Medicago truncatula: one gene and its partner. Each later gene encodes a partner of the first gene's protein in a complex. Links are inferred from orthologs where the notes say so. Each region holds a gene or a part of one and is shown in the gene's direction. Other genes may lie near its edges.

What was found.
Region 2: RNA-binding protein Y14A (region 1) and protein mago nashi homolog share a complex: the UniProt entries of both Arabidopsis thaliana proteins name them as parts of the mRNA splicing-dependent exon junction complex. The link is inferred for Medicago truncatula from reciprocal best matches to the Arabidopsis thaliana genes Y14 and MAGO.

Annotation. Positions count from the first base shown.
Region 1 is NC_053046.1:1,984,682-1,996,555, forward strand, and holds RNA-binding protein Y14A, read left to right. Parts: upstream 1-5,875; 5' UTR 5,876-5,974; coding exon 5,975-6,230; intron 6,231-6,322; coding exon 6,323-6,459; intron 6,460-8,712; coding exon 8,713-8,858; intron 8,859-9,869; coding exon 9,870-9,912; 3' UTR 9,913-10,293; downstream 10,294-11,874. UniProt on the Arabidopsis thaliana protein: Core component of the splicing-dependent multiprotein exon junction complex (EJC) deposited at splice junctions on mRNAs.
Region 2 is NC_053044.1:58,689,525-58,700,206, forward strand, and holds protein mago nashi homolog, read left to right. Parts: upstream 1-6,745; 5' UTR 6,746-6,906; coding exon 6,907-7,125; intron 7,126-7,223; coding exon 7,224-7,400; intron 7,401-7,928; coding exon 7,929-7,988; 3' UTR 7,989-8,252; downstream 8,253-10,682. Other genes in the region: uncharacterized protein, read left to right, coding at 1,915-2,032, 2,712-2,900, 3,521-3,568, 4,305-4,366, 4,491-4,595. UniProt on the Arabidopsis thaliana protein: Core component of the splicing-dependent multiprotein exon junction complex (EJC) deposited at splice junctions on mRNAs.

The DNA of each region.
Region 1 (11,874 bases):
TGAATTTTTGTTTTTAGTATAGTTATGTTGTAGATCTGAAATGCTATTAACATATATTATGAATATCTGTTATAATGAAGTTATATTGCTTGAATTTATATTTTTTTCCGAATTTTATAAATTTTTTAGGGTTTAAATATTTGTTTATAATATAGTTATGTTGTAGTTATGAAATGCTATTAACATATATTATGAATACCTGTTACATTGAAGTTATATTGCTATGGTTTATGTCAAATTTTCACTACAAGTGTTTGAATGAGTTTTTCATTGATTATTTTTAATTTCTTATTGTGTAGATTTGAAGCAATGGTCGGGTGGATCGACGTTCATGCACAATTCAATGGCGGAGAACCTCAGAGGTTGAAGGTTTGATGCCTTGGTATAACGTTAAGAGGTCTCAAGGATGAACTGACTGAATTCAACCAAGGAGTCAACCCCGGAGACACAAGGAGGGTGGAACACGTTTGGTATAAACGTCCAACGCTCGACGAGGGGAGAGTATCATTCACTTCGGTGGAATTAACGAACGACGAAAACGTGACGAGCATGTTTTGGGAGCACAACATGTTCCAGTGGATCAATATGCGGGTAACGTTGCTGAGATCAACTGAAGATATCATCAACAGCTTGATTCCGCCAGAAAATCATCATTAGTTATGGTAAGGTGCATTCCAACTACAACAATTGTCTTGCCTCTGAAATGGGGTAATTCAAACTTGCCAAATGGCCATGACTCAAGCATTTCGCCCAGCTTTCATGTTTTTCCTTTGAAAAGATTAAATTCTTGTTATGCTGGTTTAGATGAAGGTATTAAGTGCCAAGGAATGAACCTCATTTCGTTGGCACTTGAATATCATCATCTAAAGCAAGCCTAACAAAAATTTATTCTTTTCAAAGGAAAAACATGAATGCGGTGCAAAATGCTTGAGTCCTGTTGTTTGGCAAGTTTGAATTTACCCCATTCAAAGGTAAGACAATTGTTGTAGTTGGAATGCACATTCCAACTACAACAATTGTCATACTCTGGATGGGGCAATTCAAACTTGTTAATCGGGAGGACTCCAACATTCGATAAGCCTCTTGAATATTGGTATTGAAGTGTCAAGGAATGCACCTCATTCTTTTGACAGTTAAATACCATCATTCAAGATGCTGATCGGATGTTGGAGTCCTGCTGTTTAGCAAGTTTGAATTTGCCCCATCCAGAGTAAGACAATTGTTGTAGTTGGAAGATACATTCTGGAATGTAATGTAATACAATGTAATGTGATAACATATATAGTTGAATATGCATAATACATTTTGTTTTGAATGGAACAATAATTATCTTATTTATTCACTTTTCGAATTTATTTATTCATTACGCAATTTTAATTAGTTGAATTCACATTAGATTTAATTAGTTTTTATTCGAATACACAATTATTCGAAACGCGACTTTAATCGAAATTATTCCAAATGCGATTTTAATTGAAATTATTCAAAATGCGAATTTATTCAAAGTACCAATATGTCAAGCAAAATGTACCATAAAAAAAGATCCAAATCAATTAGATATTACAACCCATTACATTCAATCATCTTTCTAATCACACAAGTCAATTGGTTTGTCCTCGACAGTCCCTGGGGCACCTGCTTTTGCTTGAGGACCAAAATAGCATGTCCTCCCGCTCCTCCTCAACCTCGAATGATTATACACCAGCACCTTCGAATCATTATTTTTTACGGATCCATCACATGTGATTCCATGCCATGTCATCAGTGATTTTTCTTTCTTCCTGCCGTCACCCTCCTTCTTCTTGTTCACCTCAACGTTTCCCTAATTCTTAGACATATCTACATAAATAAATCGGCGATCAAAACCTACATCATGTCGTAACAATTATACAATAATTGATCATAACCTAAACTAATCCTAAAAATTATACCGTAACTAATCGTAACAATTCTATTACAAATTCAACAACAAAATTTCATAACAAACCTAAACTAATCGCAACGATTATACAACAACAATTCATCTAATCCTAAAAATTCTACCATAATTTCATAACAATTCTAACAATCTAAACAATTTTAACATAAACCTAACAATTCAAACAACCCAAACTATCATAATATCATAAAATCAATAAACCTATATAATCACAATTAACCAAAAAAAACTAACAAATCAATCACAAAATAGCAATGCCATAGGATTCAAAAAATTTACTTGATTTTGTGCTTGAAATTAGCTTGGAATGGCCGATGTTTGCTGAAAAACGCACCTGAGAAATCCAAAAACGTAACAATGGAGTTTTGGAAACTCCTACGCTGTTCTGTTCATATAACAGAAAGCAACGACAGTTAACAACCACTAAATGCCAGCGGCAGTTAACTGTCTGCGCATGGCCTAACGGTTGTTAACTGTCGCCGGAAGCTTTTTGGTAAATTACTTGTGTCAATATGAAGTATTATATGTCAAAAAAGCAATTTTCAATTAGTAAACCTAAGACATGAAAAACGACCCATATTGGATCAGTCCATGGCTTTCATTTAGCCTCAATTTTGGTGGTCCAATCCAACCTAAAACACACCAAGCAGTTGACATGGGTCAAATTCATATTTCTAACAAGTAAACTATTTTTGTTTTGTTAAAAAAACTTTTTTTTAGAGAACATGTAAACAAACTATTGAAATCTTTTCAGAAAACAAATATTAATGCCTAAAAAAGAGTTTTGGTCTAGCCTAAGGTGGTAAAATGGATGACTTTAAATTTGGATGGATAAAAAGGATCCATTAACAATACTATTTAAAAAAAAATATCTAATCTAATTCATCCATTAAACATAAAACCATCAAATTTATCCATTATTATATTTTAAATGGATGTGTATTCATTGGATTCATCTATGAAAGCATATTAAGGAATTGTACCTAAGTTTTCTCCTTAAAAAAATTGCAGAATTTTTTAAAATATTTCCAAAACATTTTATTTAGACGGTTTCTTTTCGCACCCTACCGGTTTCTCGTGCGTCTTAAGAAGTTTGGATTACATACTCAAAAAAGCGCTAGAACACGTTAAAAACACCCTCCAACACTCGGATTTAATAACTGAAAAAGTTTTAGAGGGTGGAAAAAGAAATTCATTTTTTTTTATGTATTCAGCCCAAAAACTTTTTTTTTTTTTTTTCAAAAACAATATATCAGCCCAAAACCAATTTTTTACTAGGCTTATTGCAAAAAAAATAAAATTGAATTATGCTCATTACCCAGATAGTATCGCTCATTCCCAAAGTAAATGTCCAAAATGCTCTTGCGCATGTTAACATGCGCTAGTGTATTTTTTACCTATGTTAAGTCGCATTATGTGACTTAACATGCGCTAGTGTATTTTGTTGTCTAAGTTAAGTCACGTAGTGTGACTTAAGTTGCGCTAGTGTATTCTGAGCGTGAGTTAACTTGCGCCAGTTGGCCGGTGCAGAACCGAAGAACAAAAGTTTTTTGGTCTGTGGTCAGTTTTTCAACATTCTATCCACACGTTTTTAACACTATTTTACACGTTTTTTGACCACATTAATGGTGTTTACAACCTATACTACCATTCCCACCTATAAATACCCCTCCATACTTCCCTAATTTCTCACACCATATCACTTTCTCCCCCCTCCTCACTCTCTCCCTCTATTTCTCTTCTTTCTTTCTTTTTCAGTATTCTCTTTGAGGGCAAAAGTGATCAATCTTCGTCGGGGTAAAATAGTGAGAAGCCGACATGGGGAAGTGATCGACCATTGGGATAAGTTTAAATTTGCTTTTTTTACTCCATAAACTTTTTACCGTGGGTATAAAAAAAACCAGATTTAAATTTAGCCCAAGGGTTGATCATGTATTTTCTCCAAGAAGGTTGCTCCCTATTTTACCCCAAAAGGGAGAAAATAAGTAGAATAAATTAGTGAATTGGAATAAATTATTGTATTGTATGAATTCTATTAATAAAATGAGATATTGTTATATGCCTCAATTTTGTTCATTCCTTTTTATTTTATATTTGCTTTTATTTTCTAATTTTGTATTTAATGAATAAATATTAATTTAGTTCATTTACTTTTATCTATATTTGTATTTATTTAATGAATAATATCGAATCAATATTTATTTTAAGTGCATAAATAATTTAGAATAAAGTAAATAAACTAATTTAGAATAAAATAAATAATGTTTGTTCTTCAGTTCTGCACCGACCAACCGGCGCGAGTTAACTCACGCTCAGAATACACTAGCGCAACTTAAGTCACGCTACGTGACTTAACTTAGGTTAAAAAAATACACTAACGCAACTTAACTCACGCTGCGTGACTTAAGTTGCGTTCCTCTTATAACTAGCGCAACTTAAGTCACGCTACGCATGTTAACATGCGCATGGGCATTTTGGACATTTACTTTGGAAATGAGCAATGCTGTTTAGATAATGAGCAGAATTCAAAAAAATTCTAGGACCAATTAACCAAACCAACTTTATTTTAATATGTATAAAAGGTGGTCGTCGGTGGTGGTCCTTCGACGACCCCTACGACAACAAACAATGGTTTTATGTTGGCCCCGTGAAGGTTAAGAGGCAAACCACCACTTTCCATCAATCAAGTTTGTACCTTTAGTTGCGCCTTGTATTGATCACCCCAAACAAGTGTAATACTAAAAGAAAGTTTACTTCACCAGAATAAAGCAAGGAAGTTAGAATTTACTGTTCGGGAAATCCGACAATGGAGGAAATGACAGAAAATAATTTGTCATATTGAGATGTGAAAGAAGTGTAAAATATCAGCTTCATTGAAATGTGATTGATCGTTTAGGTGGAGAGGTTATTTGTTGTTGGTGTATGGAGCCTTAGAGTGGAGAATGAGAAGACAATCATGAGATTATTCAAATCTCTCAAGATTGTAAATATGTTGACCGTCTAAGACCAAAAGAGAATATGCTTGTTCGTAGGCTGACAACCTAGATGATCCTTCCAAGACATATTCTGACCACTTTTTAGAATAAAAATGGTTGAAGTGCAACTACTATCATGCATATTTATAATTAATGTCACAAGTATAAGTAGTCTATCGGGATATAATTATAGTTGAAGACAAGTCTGTGTATAATTATAGATTAACCGTTGATTCCGATAATGTCAAGTACATTTTATAGGCTCATACGAATTCCATTAAGTTGTTTAATAATTCTTCTATTGTACTTGTGATGAATTATATTTATTAAACCAAATAGTATTGTCTTATGTTGTTTGAGTTTGTCGGTGTCATGTCTACTGAGTTGATATACTATTTCAATTTTCTTATATGATGCATGAGAAGAAAGAAAATGTTATGTATACTCTATAAAGATGACGTAATTTGTTCAAATCTCCGTATCAGCCTTCAAAAATTAAACATATAGTCTACTTATAATTTGTCCAACAACATAATGGTAACATATTAGTCGGGTTCCGTTTTCTTCAACCCGCATTGACCCATCCGAAATCAATCAACATTATCTAATGAATCTATTTTACTCGACTCTCTTAACCGCTTTGTCAAATAAGGCAAACGATTAAATCGGCTTTGGGTCGATTTTCCATATTTTGTCCTACCCTAACTTAGGTGATGGACATACTTTTTTTTTTTTTTTTTTGTAAGTGTCCAAGATTCGAACCTCAAAACTTGCACATATTATGCATCGTCCTTGCCAACTGACACGAGACGGAACTAATTTAATTGAATGATTATGTGACTCTGATTCTTTTATTAATTAGTGATTTTGATCCTTATTTAATGGAATGATTTGTTACCCAAAAAAAACCATTTGAACTCTTTCAAATAGTGTAGAATATTCTCATTTTTCAATTAAAATACATTATACATTCATTACTCGTTGTAATTCAAACGAATTAGAATTGGGAACCCTAGGTTGAACCAGCCTTCATACACTCACTCCTCTCTATTCAGCGACAATGCAAGGAAGCGCCGCCGACGGAGAAGCTTTGGATTTCGAGCCAGAGGAAGATGACTTGATGGACGAAGAAGGTGCTGTTGACGCCGAAGCTTCTCCTCCACATCCCAAACTCAAATCCGCCATCACCTCCGTTCCCAAAAAAACCAAAGGTCGCGGTTTCCGTCAGGATTCTGATTCCTCCAACCGTAACTCTCGTCTTGCTGATTCCGGTTTCGATACTCTCACTGCTGAGGGTGGTCCTGGTCCTCAACGATGTTCGTGTTCCCAATTGTTCAATTTTTTCAATTTAATTGCGTGATTTTGATTTTTAGGGTTTTTATGCTTAATAATGTTGCTGTTTTTGTAGCTATTGAAGGATGGATTATTTTGGTGACTGGTGTACATGAGGAAGCTCAAGATGATGATTTGCAGAATGCTTTTGGTGAATATGGTGATATTAAGAATCTTCACTTGAATCTTGATCGCCGTACTGGTTTTGTTAAGGTGTGTCATTGATGATTTTTTCGCTGTTCACTTCACTGTATTGTTCTTGTGCATTGTTTACTTATTCATACAAATTGACTAGTTTTATGGATACCTTTTTGTTACTAATTGATGATAGAAAGTGTTTTGAAGTAGGAGATGAATATGGTGGGGTAATGTTGTTAATCTAAGGGTATGTTTCTATGGAGGGTTTTGGAGGGGAGACTTTACTTTTCTCTATTAAATTATGTTTACTATAAGATGTTTTTAAAATCAATTAGGTTTGATTGAAGTATTATATGATCCTTTATCATGTTCTTTGAATTTTTTTTAAATAACAAATATATTTTAACATATTGTCTTAGCCCTCCAAAAACCTCTCCCAAACAAGCCCTAAGGCTTTGTTTGGGAGTTTGGAGGGGGGAAGGAGAGGGCTTTGGGGGTGGAAAACACAGGGGAAAATAGAGAAAATCTTTCACGTTTTTAAAAGAGTTTTCTTTTTAGAGAATGATAAACTAATGTTTTATAATTAATACACTTGTAATTTTAAGAATATTATAACTACATACATTGAATTTGAAGAATTCGTATAAACTTTCCAAATCCCTTCAAAACCCTCCTCCATTGCAATTTTGAGTTCCCCTAAATCAGGAGGGTTTTGTATTACGAAGAAAAATTAACCCCCAAGGCCTTCCCTTCTCAAATTCCTTTATTTGCTTTTTTTTTTCCCCTTTCCAAATGGAAGGAAGGGAGAGGCTTTGGGAAAAATGGAAGGAGCAAGTGGATGAAATAGAAGACATTGGGAGGGGGAGGGGGAGGCTTTTGGGGGGTTCATGTTTCTTCATAATACAAAATCCCCCTCATTTGGGGAAACTCAAAAATTGCATTAAATCTATGTTGTTATAATATTCTTAAAATTAAAAACATATTAGTTTATCATTTTCTAAAAAATTACTCTTCCAAAAAATGTGAAAGATCTCCATTTTTCCATATATTTCTCAAACTCTCAAAGTGATCCATTAATGGCAATATTTAATCTTTATGATTCTCCTTTTTTATTGTTAACCTTCTGGTTTCCCGAGGAAAGGTGCCTTGATAATCCGGAGCATGGTTATCAAATTTTGAATCAGAAGATCTATTTTCGGAATTGAATCTTTATATGAACTGTAATATATACTGTCCATAAAAATATGACATTTTTAAGTAAGATAAGTGACATAGCAAAATTATAAGCTAATATATGAACCTTCAAATAATTCAAGTCATGAATCAAATGGCAAGCGGGGCTATACATTGTTGAGTGAAAAAAGTGGCCAGCATCACTAATTTTGATACGGAACCATTAGAATGAAATGAAAATCGTTTTAGTGAATTGGGATTCAAGATGGGATTCGTCCCACATAGATATAATGATACACACTAACTGAAGTTATCGATTGGTTCTGTTTTGTATCAAATTGAGAAATAGCTCATTTATTTTGTGATACCGGTAACCATGTTGCGGAGTTTGGTTGAGAGTTAAGTAAAGTGAGGCCGGAGATTGTTGCAGCATGGGATAACTTGGGTCCTCCCATTCCAGCATGGGATCGAACTTGGGTACTCCTGATTGATGCAACCTTAACTGAAGTTATCATCTCATATCTTTTCACCGTTAGTTGGACTCAACTTTCATTTCATGTCTCAGTCATGGCATGAATTCTGCTTTGCTGCACACATTTTGTTATTGACCTCAAGCTGTTACTTTGGGGTTCAGATGGTTGTTGATTTGTTTCTCATGTATATAAATTTTATAAAATGGCCTCACTGCACTCCCTGCAGTATTTTTTTATTTTTTTTTAAATTGATGTTGCTCTATCAGTATAAATCAATGCCGTATTGATTTTTAAAGGATGTAGTGGAAGAAACATATAATCCTTCCTAACAAGTAACTTTGTGTAGGTTATTGCCGTTTCTTTTGTGTTTTATATTTTTATGATGATGCTTTTACTCTTGTTTGCCACTTTCGCTGCTTTGATCTCAACTTATCTTATTTTATTAAGAAAAGCTAAGACTTTTTTTAGACTACTTGTAATTTTGTAAACAGGGTTGATCCTTGTTCAAGAAAATTTTCTGCCATCTGTTTCTATGTTCATACATCATTGATTGATGATTAATATCAGTTTCAGAAACTGGAGATTAGTTCTCCTTTTCCTGGCAACTTCTGCTCATTTCTGCATGTGCCATTTTATCATGTGAAGATTTTGGTTTCTATACTGATAAGCATTTTGAATTTAGGGTTATGCACTGATTGAATATGAGCGCTCCGAGGAAGCTCGGAATGCAATAGAGAATTTGAATGGATCTGTGCTTCTCACACAAACCATTTATGTTGATTGGGCTTTCAGCAGTGGACCTATTAACGAGACAGTTAGAAGAAACAGGTAATTTATTTTTGTTTTATATTTGTCTGCAGAGTAGTATGTTATTTCACAACATTAATCTTGAAGAAAGTTCCATAAAGTTTTTGGTTTGAGTTTTACATCATTTATTTGAGTTGGTATTTCCAATTACAGCAACTACCGAGTCTTATTCCACAAAGTGGGGTTGGCTACATGGATCAAACCACATTATGATTTGTTATCACAGTTCCATGTTTATAGTCAAGTCATTGGCCTCTAAATATTTTTTTAATTTTTGCCAATAGTTTTTGTTGGCCTTCCTTTGCCTTTCGCAATTTGGTTGCCTTTTATCTCATCCACTTTTCTTAATATGGAATTTACATGTCTCCTCCACACTTGTCCGAACTACCTAACTCGAGATTTCATCATCTTTTCTACAATAGGCTCTATCCAACTCTATCTAATGCTATCATCTCTAATCCTACCCTTTCTAGTCTTTCCACATGTCCAACACTCAATTCTCATCACATCTTCACTTAGTTTATGTTTGTGTTGGTTTTCTTCGTCGTTTTCTATGTTGGTCACAAGATATTCAACTACATAACTTGTGTGGTATCCAACTGTAAAATTTATTTTTGCCAACACATACTCCACTCTTGAAAGTTTGTAAAACATATCCTACTTCATTAGAAATTAAAATGCATTATATATATATATATATATATATATATATATATATATATATATATATATATATATATAATTCTCTTCTTTGCAGATGGATTGAAAAATGAAGATATGGTGCATTGTCCTAGACTATCGTTAAATAATTTGCATTCCATTTTTCAACCCCGTTTCGTTGTATGTTTGGATTCACAATGAGTTTGTTAGAATCACAATGTCACCGTGATTTCGACAAACTCACAATGATACCAATCTACCAAACATGCAGTTGTGTTTAAGCAAATGCTAAATGCTATTTACTAACCTTCTTCCCCTTATAATTTTTTCATAGTTTAGCATTTGAGTGTTTGGAACTTTGACATTTTGCAGACCTCAGCGGCGCTCCAGGAGTCCTCCTAGGAGGAGATATTGAAAGGGTCTTTGTTAATTATACATGATGTCAGTTGTGTGGAACTTAAATGAGCGGTGTGATTTGTGTTTGTCCAATTGTGGATGCTTTTTCCTATACTTATGCAGCTTCCGTCAGACAAAATACATATCGGTTGTTGAGGAATCTTATCTTACATCATTTGTTGAATGTTATTAACTCAAGTTTATTATGGTTTAGTGTTTTAACATATCTGTATTGCACTGTAGTAACGTGTTTGGTTTAGTTTTTCTTTATTATGTAATGACATTGTGTTGAAGAAGATAGTATCTCTTTTGGATTGCGTCTTGTATGTGATGGGCGTGAATGAGTGAACAACACTAGCGTGTTTCTTTTTCTCTCAATAGAGGCATTTTATTCCTCCCATCTTTTTCTTTGCCACCATGTATTGTGTTGTATTTACATAGTAAAGTTACTTCTCCATGCATTTACGTGACATAGATTTCGTGTCAAGGGGGGTCATATTTGTAGTAATGACCTAAGGTAGGTACTGCCTTTGAAGAGGTTTGTTGTCGTCTGCTCTATTACCAAGCTTGTAAAGCCTAAATCTAAGGGTGGTAGAACGAGTATGCTTTAATGGGTTAATCTGTTCGACCATTCAATTCTAGAGAGTTCGATTGACACACTCAATCTATTAACCGATTTGAGTGGTTTGGCTTAATTTGAGCATGTTTAGAATTAGAAAGTTTACTTTATGCTAGATCTCTCGTAAAGGTTTGCTCAACCATAAAAGAAAAGTGAAGTTTGGTTCAAAATCTTAGCAAACTGTAGGATTAAAGATGACGTGCATTGGGACGATTCCATTTCAGTTTTCAACACCCTGATTCCCTGAACAATGAATTGTTTTTTTTTTTCCTTGTTCAGCCTCGTGACAAGAGCAAATGATGCCACAGTTTTTTGTCATAAAGGTTTAAAGTTTCAACTGATTTTGTAATTTATTTTAGGAGTAACTTACACTCTCCCGAGAGATGTTTAAATTACTCTACCTTTTTCTCGTACGTTAAGAAATATATTTCTCTCGTACGCTAAGAAATATTATTTACGAGAAATGATATTTGAACAACCATTTTTAAACACTTTTGTGACAACTTTCTCTCTCATACTCTCATTGTACTTTTTTTTTTTTGTCTCTCTCTCTATTGTTATTGTCCAATAAGAAGAGAAGAAAAAAGGTTGTCATTAAAGTTGTTTGATTTTGGTTGTTCAAATATCGCTCCTCATTATATACCCTCTTGCGTAAAACATGGAAATTACACTTTGCTCCTTTGAGGGAAGTTTGAGTTATATTTCTCTATCTCTTTGTTAAATATACTCATCTTCCTCAATTAACATTTTAGTTTTTTTTTAATGTAATCAAACTAGTAATACATTTTTTCTTCATTTTCGATTTAGATCATAAACATATACTATCTAAATGATGGTATAGACAATTGATATGTTTAAGCAAGAGAATTAATTTATGTTTCTCTCATAATATTTATTGTTGATCGTAGAAAAATATAAAATAATATAAGATATGTCGGTAAATAATTAATTAACACAATTAGAAATTGAAAGAGAACCTTATAAAAAAGAACAAGGTTTTTTTAAGGGGTCTTATATTTGAGGACAAATATCATAAACAATGAAGCAATGCAATGCAAGATAAAATAAAAATATTGGACAATTTATTGAAGTCAATTAAGAACAAGTATTTTTTTTTTGAAGGAATTAAGAACAAGTATTTAAAATTGAACTTTGTATTCTCAAATCATATAATTAAAATAAAATTTCGAAAAAAGAAAAATTGATTTCTTAAATGGCGGTTAAAGTTATTTTTTTTTGACATAATATGATATGATTGCTCAAAGTTAACTATTAGGCTTAATACATGCTTTGGTCCCTTAACTTATTTTTGAATTTTATTTTGGTCCCTTAACTTTAAACTATCTCAATTTGGTCCCATAA
Region 2 (10,682 bases), on another chromosome or scaffold:
TATGTACTATTATTAAAAAATTATAAATGAGTATTGTTTACATGCGAGATGCATTTAAGAACTCAAAAATGGATATCTCAATTGTGGATGCTATAAGTAGCTCATAAGTATACAATGACATGTTTCTCTATATACTTTTTTAAAATTTTATATATATATAAACATTTTTTTGCTGATGTATTTATTTTTATTAATATTTTAATTTATGGTTTTTTTTTAGGGAATTTTAGTTTATGGTTAAATATATATTTGATTCTTATAAATATTTTAACTTTTGATTTTAATCCCCCGTAAACTTTTTTCCACTTTTAATCCTCAAAAAAGTTCCCACCCCTGCTTTTATGGATCCTAACATTAAGAGCAAGGTGGTCAAAAAATGTGACTAAGAATATATAAAATGTTACAATTTTTCTTTTAAGTAATAAAATGTTAGAACTTAGAATAGGCTAGTTATAACTTATAACAAAATATAAAGCATTTTTATATATATATATTAGTTTGTTAACTTAAACCAACAAAAGCAAGCGTACACATATTTATTTAGACAAAAATATATATCTACTATTATTATAAATCATTATTTTATAAATTGGTGCAACTTAACAAATATTTTATAATAAAAATTACTAAAGTAACCTTCAAATTATTTGTGTTAAATAATAAAAATGAATGGTATTTTTGTCTAAATGAAGATGTGCACACTTGCTAATTGACTGGTGCTAGTCACACCCCAAAAAAACAAGTTACACCTCAGAATGACTAATATACCTTTTAACTAAAATAAAAATTTCAAATTAACTAAATTTACATTAATGTAAATTGAACATAAGTAAACTTAATTTACATTAACCTAAATTGAACATAAGTAAACTTAATTTACATTATCCTAAATTGAACGTAAGTAAACTTAATTTACATTAACCTAGATTTAACATAAGTAACCTGAATTTACATTAACATAGATTGAACATAAGTAAACTGAATTTACATTAACCTAGATTGAACGTAAGTAAACTGAATTTACACTAACCTAAATTGAACATACGTAAACTTGAATTTACATTAACCCCTAACCCCTTTTATATACATACACGTAAACTTAATTTACACTAACCTCTCACTTAAAATCAAATTGACAGGCATATCTCATACCAAAACAAACAATAAACAAATAGAAACTCATTGAAAATGAAATTCATGAAATTCACTAACCTTTATGAATATAGTACAGATCAATAACAAAGATGTTGATTCAGATATTGGTTGCACATCTATGGTGATTTGTGGATGAAAGGGGGTAAGAGTTCATAATGATCATAAAAGATGAGTTTTTAAAAATTTACATGAAGAGGGCAATTTTGATATTATTGTAAAATTTTAAATAAATTTGGATGTAACTTGTTTTTTTTGGGGTGTGACTAGCACCAATCTTACTAATTTGGACCTTCATATTTTTTGTTGATCTAAGTTTGCAAACCCCATTATATATATATATATATATAAAGTGTTCCTTAAAAATATGCAGCGTGGCAGTTTTCTTATTTAAGGGAAAAAAATGTGACAGTTATTAAATATGAACATGGTAATTGTTTTATTAAAAAAAATAAAAATTAATATGGTTAAAATTGGAAGAAAATATAAAAATGTATAAGCTATAAACTAAAAAATTGTTTGAAATAGCATATCAAAAAACGCTACAAGGTAATGCAAGAAATTTTTTGTGTTACCAATATGAGGTTTGAACCCCATCCATCCAGATATGAGGTGAATTATGTACGATAAAATATTATTATTATTAAATTTAAAGTATAATAGTGAATTATTTATGGTCAAAGGAAAGGAACGATGCGTTCTCTTTCTGCTGGGTTGTATCTATCTCTCTAAGAAAGGAAGAAGAGACTGAGAGTCAGAGGGATGATGCTAGAAAACCCTCAAGCTCAGCCACCGGAATCTGGTCCTGTGGTGGTGAAGCGCTATGCTCCACCCAATCAAAGGAACCGTTCTATCAATAATAGGCGCAAATCTTCATCTGGTTAGTTAACTTATTCTTTACTAGGTAGTTGTAGCAGTAGCATCACATCAAGCAATGTCAAACATATTTTATCTATTAAGTTGAGCTACTTACTACTGTAAATACTATTCCCTTATTTGCTTTTTAGTTCAATCAATGTATCATCCTAAATAATGGAACGGATCTGGGACTGTGAATCACGAATGTTCTTTTTAGAATAGCGAGGCACATAATATTGTTACCTATGCACAGAGTTCTATCAGTTTATGTAACTTGAAGAAAAGGTGTTATTGAACTATTAGTTTGTATTGTTGGAAGATAAGAAAGTTGCTTATATATAGGATTCATTTCTGTAACATTGAATCAGTGGGTGTCCTTCTGGCATGGTCTGATGGGAGATAAATTAAAAGAAATTTCTTATGAAGATAATTGTTTAATACAATTAGCCATCAGATCTATGTAAAAGTTCTTGAAGTCGCAAATTAAGTCTTGTAGCTCTTGATGCAAGTGGATTTCTTCCTCCTTTTTTTTTTTTTTTTTTTTTTTTTTTTTTTTTTTTTTGTAATTTATGTGTTATTTCTCATTTGCATAATTGACAGTGATCAATGGTAAAGCTTTTGGCCCATTTGCTGTCAGTTCCTGCTCTATTTTGTTTGTTTCTAATTTGTACATGTCGTTTGCTTTCTATCAAATTATGTAGATCGGCTTGATCGATCAAACAGTGTTGGCAGTGATATAGAAAAGAATCAAGTTGCTTCTTCAAAAAACATTCAAGTTACAGATCACGGACATGCTAGCAGCAGTAATATTTTTAATGAGAACCATTATTCAAGATTCATTGCTTTACAAGGTTGTAGTAGCAGTGCAGCTTCCCAGCTTCTTAGTGATCGTGAGTCTTCCCTGCCTTTTGTTTGTGAGAACTTGTATATGTTGGCTTATTAAATTAAATTGAATATTCTTTTGCCCTGATGATTTCTGTAGTTCTTTAGGTTTTCTCATTAGAACAGACTCTAATAAGTATCTGATCAATGAAAAATACCTTCAATTAGTTTGCATAGGATTGAGATATGCAGATTTTAGGACTTCGGAATATATTGATCATGATTGTTTGTTATGGCTTGTCTGTGGAAAAGGAATGCCCAAGGCCAGCTTTTAGTTTTATTTAACATGATATGTGCTCCTTCATTTTCTATAAATTCCCAAAGTACTTGTTTGTGTCGTGTTGAGCAAGATTCCTTGAGAGATGATAGCTAATTCTCAAGTCCAAAAAGAAATATCAACATTATTGTGAATTATTTTGTTTATAAATTGTAATAGACATATGTCTTGCTTTTACATGTTTGCATACCTTTTGTTTCATTAATTGTTCCTGTCTTCTCGTATTTTAACTGCTTATTGCATTATAGTGAGGAGGGGGGGACTTGTTCGTTTTCTCTTATCTGCTTGTTATGTCAAATTGTCGATACCATTGATTAACATTACCTGTTGCCCATGGACTTCTGTTTCCAGGTTGGACAGCTGTAATACAGTCCTACAACAATCCCAAAGATTCATCTGGTTAGTGGACAATCATTAGAATGACTACCTTTTCCATGCTATGAAATTTGTCACTGTGTCTAATATTTAGTGTTGATGGAACTTTGATTTGTTTTGCTTGTTTCAAAAGTTTTCAATCCATTGAGTTGAGGTCACCAGTAAAACTATGAAATGATTCAAGCTAACCACTGTTGCAGTAACTAACCTTTTGTTTTTTGTGTGTTTGGCTGCCAGTTCTTTCTTTAATTGACTAATTACTATAAGCTTGGTAACTTGATATGTTCAAAAGTGATATATCACGTGATTGCGATACTTAGGACTTACGGGAGTTTGGTGACTACTATACCAACTAAAATATGTTGTTCCTTATACAGTTCATTAGTGTTTGAGAATTCATCTCAATCAAATGCAGTATCAGTAATTTAGCATTTTATATGTGATTTACAATTACATTTAGTCCAACGTGTTTTGATGTAGTTCAAGCTGAGAGGACTTATTACTAAGTGACGAATATCATATAATTACTCTTTAATCATCTTTGTGGTGTTGACTCTTTATAGTTTCTAAATTGCTGTTGGGATGTCAAGTTTAACCATTTTTGACATTTGTGAGCGTATATTATTTATACGGAACATTGATATCATGAATAGCCACCTTCTTAAATGCGGTGATAGTAGATTATGTGTTGCATATACTCTTAGGCATGTGCACGATTTATGCTTAATAATTTTCTTTACCTACCTCTTTCGAATTTCAGAAAAACCAGTTATGTATTCTGGTGGGACCTCAGTTTGGACTCAGTTCAGACTCCCTCATCAGGCAAGCTTTATTTATTAATCTTCTCATAAAACAAAAAGTAAAAAAAACTTTATATCAATTCTCCTTCCCCTCCCTTCTGCCTTCTAAATCTAACGTGATCTTTTTAATATCTATTTTCCCTCAGATTATGTCACCAGCTGCGAGTGCGTCCTCTTCTGTGTCACAGCTTGACTTTCTGGGAGAACTTCGTCGCCAAATGCACAGTGCCAATCCTAGTTTCAGCACATGATGGATGGCATGGATTTAAGGTCTTTTTTGTTTGTGATTTTATAATCAAGTTCTTGTCACAGCTGAATGCTGTAAGAACCCTTTACTTGACTACCCATTTGTGATTTTGTAACTTCGGCACGTCAACTCACTACGTATATACAAGACAGAATCAGAATATGTGTGACGCCTGTGTAGGTGTAAATTGCAATATCTTACATTAGGACTTATATTTAAGGATTTATTACGCTATATGCTTACTGAATACTAGTACCAGTTTTGATAATTTAAATGCATGGTGACATTTTTGTTGTAAAAAAACGAAGAAACTGAAGAATTATGATAGAACCTACATGAACCAACTATTTTGTCCTTATTTTCAGCCTTTTTCTTTTTAGATAATTGATTGCCTTAGCTTAATTTTTTTTACTCAAACCAAGTTAACCAATTTCATTATGCAAAGAGTGTAGGATATAATTAGGAGGATAATGAAAATCACTGCGAGGAGCATACTAGGTGCCCTTACAATAGAACCATATTCTTATCTTATGATTTTACTACGAGACACATCAACAACAAGCTGCTTACAATCAAGTTCAAAAATGATATTTTGAAGACCATAAACTATGATCCAATGGAGGGCATTAAGCAAACCACAAGCTTCACATTTCCACTATTTGGAGATTCATACGCCACCAATCCATCCTTGCCATAACAAACTGACCTTGATCATCTTTCACACACATTCCAATACCTGGACATTGTTGTTGTTGAAAAGGGGCACCATCGATATTGCATTTTAATACAACATGTTGCCAAGAGTTGAGGAAATCTCGAGCACGAAAAAATACATTCTCCTAGGGCTCATTTTTGTTGTCTGGAAGCTTTACATTTTGGTTTTGTCAAATACTCCATGAAATCATGGTAACCCTGGAGATTTGAGACTCATTAAATCGGTGCAGTACATACAAAACAGGGTTAGTAAAGTCCTCAACCGTATGCATAGCATAAGTGGTTGTACCATCAACCATAAACCGGTTTTTTGCTAATACTGGATGCTATCTTCATATTCTAGAAACAAATGCCAGAGACTCCAAATCGTGATCGCATCATATATAAGTTGAAGGGTATTGCACACCATTGTTCATCTTGTGTTGAGTGGGGAGAATATTGTTCCCAAGTTTCCACATAAATGTTTTGATCTTAGGAAGGATAGGTAAATCCCAACGCTTAAGCCAATCTCCGGGTATTTTGAGCTCGTCATTATTCATCAACCTTTCATCTCAAACGTTGCAAGCACTTTTAATAATATATTTGCATCTATTATCAAATCTCCAAATAATCTCATCTACGCGATTGAGCCTTGATACAGGAATTTTTAGAATCTTTTCAACATCATGGGATTGAATAGATTCTTAGTAATAGTGTCTTGATGCCATGTACCTGTATCACAATCAATCAACTAACTCACTGCATGATTATGAGAAATGAGAGGACCATGTCTAATTTCTTGGTTGATCAACGTAATGAAGCCAAGAATCAATCAAATAATTAATGGAGGACCCATCAATTTTCCAACAATGTCCTTCATTTAGCACCGTTCAAGAAGTCCCAGATGCTAACATCAACAATATTTGGACAGCTAGTCATAGTCTCTTAATAAGAGAGAATAGAAAAAAGGAAAAAGAATAGAAAAAAAGAAGAGGAAAGAAAAAAAAATGAGAGAGCAAGGAAAACAGAAAGACACATTAGTATAATATTTTTCTTTCAAATTTTATTATTATTTTATTAATTATTTAACTTATAATTTTTTTACTAATTGCCTAAATTTTGTAACTTATGTTTCTTTAACAAGTTACCAAGGTATCTGAAAGAGAAGCCTTTTTTTGAGGTATTTGGAAGAGAAATTTGAGTAACATTTTTACAGATAATCTGACTATATCTTAATTTGGAAAGTTATATTGCTTAGTTCTAGCCAGCTTATAACACAAAATTGTTTTACTAATCATGCAAACCAGTGCCAAACAAATTTATATAGTGAATGATGTTTAAGAGAAATTAATAAAAATAAATTGTGATTTAAAATGGTATTTAGATTAGTTTGGGAATGTATTTTTTAAGTAAGAAACAAAGAATATATGAAAATGATAATGAAAATAAAAAATTTGTGGAAGAGTGTGGGCTACAAAAGAAGCGGGCCTGGTGGAAAAGGCCCAACTCGAAGAAGAAGAAGAAGAAGAAGAACACTCGAACTCGCACTTATATTCTTCAACTCTGCTGGTTGCTGGTTGAAAATCAATCGGCGGTTATTGTTGATAATCAACATCATCAGGATGGGAAGCGAAGAAGAGAATGCAGAGTTCTACTTGAGATACTACGTTGGTCATAAGGGTAAATTCGGACATGAATTTTTGGAGTTTGAGTTCCGTCCAGATGGTAAGCTTCGTTATGCTAACAATTCCAATTACAAAAACGATACAATCATTCGTAAGGAGGTTTATCTTACTCCTGCTGTTCTTCGTGAGTGTCGTCGTATCATTTCTGACAGCGAGGTATTCTTTTCTATTCTTTTTACTAACCCTAACCCTAATTTCACCCCCTTTTCCTTTTCCTTTTCCCTTTTATTGCTTATAACAACTCTATTCAACAGATTATGAAGGAAGATGATAACAACTGGCCAGAACCAGACCGTGTTGGTCGTCAGGAACTTGAGATTGTGATGGGGAATGAGCATATCTCCTTTACTACTTCCAAGATTGGTTCTCTTGTTGATGTTCAAAGCAGTGCTGATCCTGAAGGCCTTCGCATCTTTTACTATCTTGTTCAGGTCAGTCAGATTCATTCTATTTACTCACTCATTGTTGTTACAAGGATCATTTCACCTACAATTTCAGATTCTTCCCTTCAAATTTAAGCATACCAATACTGCTCAAACACTATGCACAAATAATTGCCTTCATGAACACAACTCAAATTAAACTGACCTGGCAACTCTCAGATATCTTATACCTCATACAATGGGATTTCAATTGTTTCATTGTTTTCATTGTTTTAACCTATACTTCAGAATTCCTTTGCTGTGATTTTTTCACTTTATTTGTGCAATGTTTTAGAGACTGATTTATGTATTTCCCCATGATGTGTTATCATTGTATTTTTTAGCCTTTTTTTATCACGGTTCCTTTGCTGTGATTTTTTCCTCTTTATTGCCCCATGATTTTTTTACTGTATTTCTGCATTGTTTTAGAGAGTGATTTATATAGTTGTGCCTGTCCATTAGTCACCCAATACCAGATTTGTTTGATGTCAGCTTATGCCTTTCGTTCATTCCTGCTAATTATAATTATCTTTGCAGGATTTGAAGTGCTTTGTCTTCTCTCTTATTTCACTTCACTTCAAGATCAAGCCTATATAAGATGTTCCCAATTATTTTTCGAGTTTGTCTTCTTGGAAATGTGCACTCTTTGAACAACTTTCCTTTTTAGCTAATGAAGTTTGAAACATGTATCGGTGATGAACAGAAAAACCTGATTTGAATGGATAACCTTTGTACCAGATCTTTGCTTTTTATATTTATGGTTTTGGATATTCTTTCTCTTTCTCTTTCACTTGCTTCCATTGTTTGAGCATGCTGTCTGTATGGAATGTGCACATACCGAATTTAAGATTTCTTTGACTACTGGTTATGTTCTCAGAAAGTAGTGTTGTATGATATTTTTTTTATTTCACAGTTTCTACTCCCTAATATTAACCTGGTTCCAGCACATGATTGATGACATGGATTTTATAATCAAGCTGTTGTCTGGTTATGTTTTTAAAATCAAGTTCTTGTCACGATTGAATGCTTTAAGAACACTTAACTACCTACTTGTGAAATGTTTAGCTGCGTATAGTATATACAACACAGAATCAGAATATGTGCGATGCCTGTGTAGGTGTAAATTGGGATGTCTTACATCTAGGACTCATGTTTTAAGGATTTATTATTATACTCCGTATGCCGCTTGCCGTGTACTAGTTTTCATAATTTAAAGGCATTGTGGATTTTTATCTGTTTTATAATTTGGAAACTATAAAATTATGATGCAACTCACATGAACAACCTATTTTGTGCTTATTCTCAGTCTGGTTTTCTTCTAATTTTTACGTAAATGATTAACTGCCTTTATTTTTAGTTTTTTAAACTAGTAAGATGGTTTTTTAGAAAATAAGTGGCAAAATCTGGTTATGTTTTGTTTCTCGCTGTTGCATGTCAGCTTAGCATGCGTTTGGAATCACGATGGATATGTCAAAAGCTACAAACATACACTTCTATGTGTATTCTTGCCGCATCATTTTCTCTTTCCTAAATGGTTCCCCCAAAAATTAAAGACACATTTCAAAGGAGGTGTGTGTTCACATGGGAAAGGTTAATCCTTTCCCACCATGGGAAAATTGGATTTAATGATTAGATTAAGTGAAGAACATATTCTTAACATGCTCTCTCAACACTAGATTTTTCTTCACACTATCTTCCAATAATTTAAAAATTCTGAAAATTAATTTTTAGAAATTAAAAAAATCGAAAAAATATAAAAAAATTAAGATAATTTTTTTTTAAATTCTGTAATTCATTTGTTGAATGTTAGAATTTTTTTTTGAAAAATAAAATTTTGGAAACTAAGATAAGTTTTTATTTTTCTAAAAAGAATATTTTTTTAATTTCATAATAAAATAAGATATTCTGAAAAATAAAATAAAAATCCTAAAAAAAATATTTTGAAATTAAAGTTTTTTATTTTTCTAAGAAAATAAAATTCTGGAAAATTTAGAACAATTTTTTTTTTCATTTTTAAAAAAAAAAAATTAACATTCAATAAATGAATTGTAGAATTTTTAAAAAAAATTATCTGTATTTTTTTAATTTCTGAAAATTAATTTTCAGAATTTTTAAATTGTTGGAAGAAAAATCTAGTGTCGAGGGAGCATGTTAAGAATATGTTCTTCACTTAATCTAATCATTAAATCCAACTTTCCCATGGTGGGAAAGGATTAAACTTCCCATGTGAAATGCCACCTTCAAAGGATAGTGTGAGTGACCTAATAATCATTTATCGAAAAACCAATTGTCGGGATCATAATAATTTTAGAAGAGTGTTATTTGAATAACCATTTGGTTGACAACTTATGAGACAACTGTAATTTACAAAGAAAAAGTTGGTATTTGCAGGTATTCTAAAGTAATGAGTAACTTTTTCTGTGACAACTTCTATATATATATTTTTTATATACAAGTATATTACTGTAATTGTTTGAGATGTACCAAAATCAATAAATATTATTAATGATAATTTATGGTTTTTGTCAAAAATAAAATAAAATAACAGGTTTGAGGTTTCCTCGGCAGTTTTCTCGGTAATTAACTGCAGCCGGTTCCATAATTCGGCAGTTAACTGTCAATGGACATTTGAATAAATTACTCGTGTTTCTCAACCAATGCATATATGTCAACAACAATTCTCTTAACATTTAGCATGGAAAGCATAAATTTTCCTACCATGGATTAGTTGAGTTTTAGCTATTTGATCCTAGGAAAAACAAAACCAAAAAAAAAAAACAAAACACCAGGAAAGTGAATTCTCTCATTAAGCATGTCATTTGCTCGTAGGAGATAAGAGTAATGCTAACAACACTCTTTTTTAAACATTCTCTCTAATACTCACATAAAGTGGTGGAGTATACATTGATTTTATCCAATAATAGAATAAGTGTTAAAGAGAGTGTTTAAAAGTGAGTGTTGTTAGCATTTTCTCCTTTAGATAATATGCTCAAATGGTTGGTATCATTGTGAATTTTTCGTAATAATTTAATAAAGAAAAATACATACATATAATACATTTAATAATTTTTTAAGATGTGTGTTAAATAATGTGCTCAAATGGTTGGTATCATTGTGAAGACTTCATGTGCGGAAGAAATTTTGTGTGATCACAAGGTTTAGACAGAATAAGAATTAAATAATGTATTTTTTAAAATGACTAAATAATGTGTAATTTTATGTGTGTGGAAATAGTTTTTATTTGGAGTTGTGCGGAAGCAATTGGGTGTGATTTGTTTAAAAAAGATAATC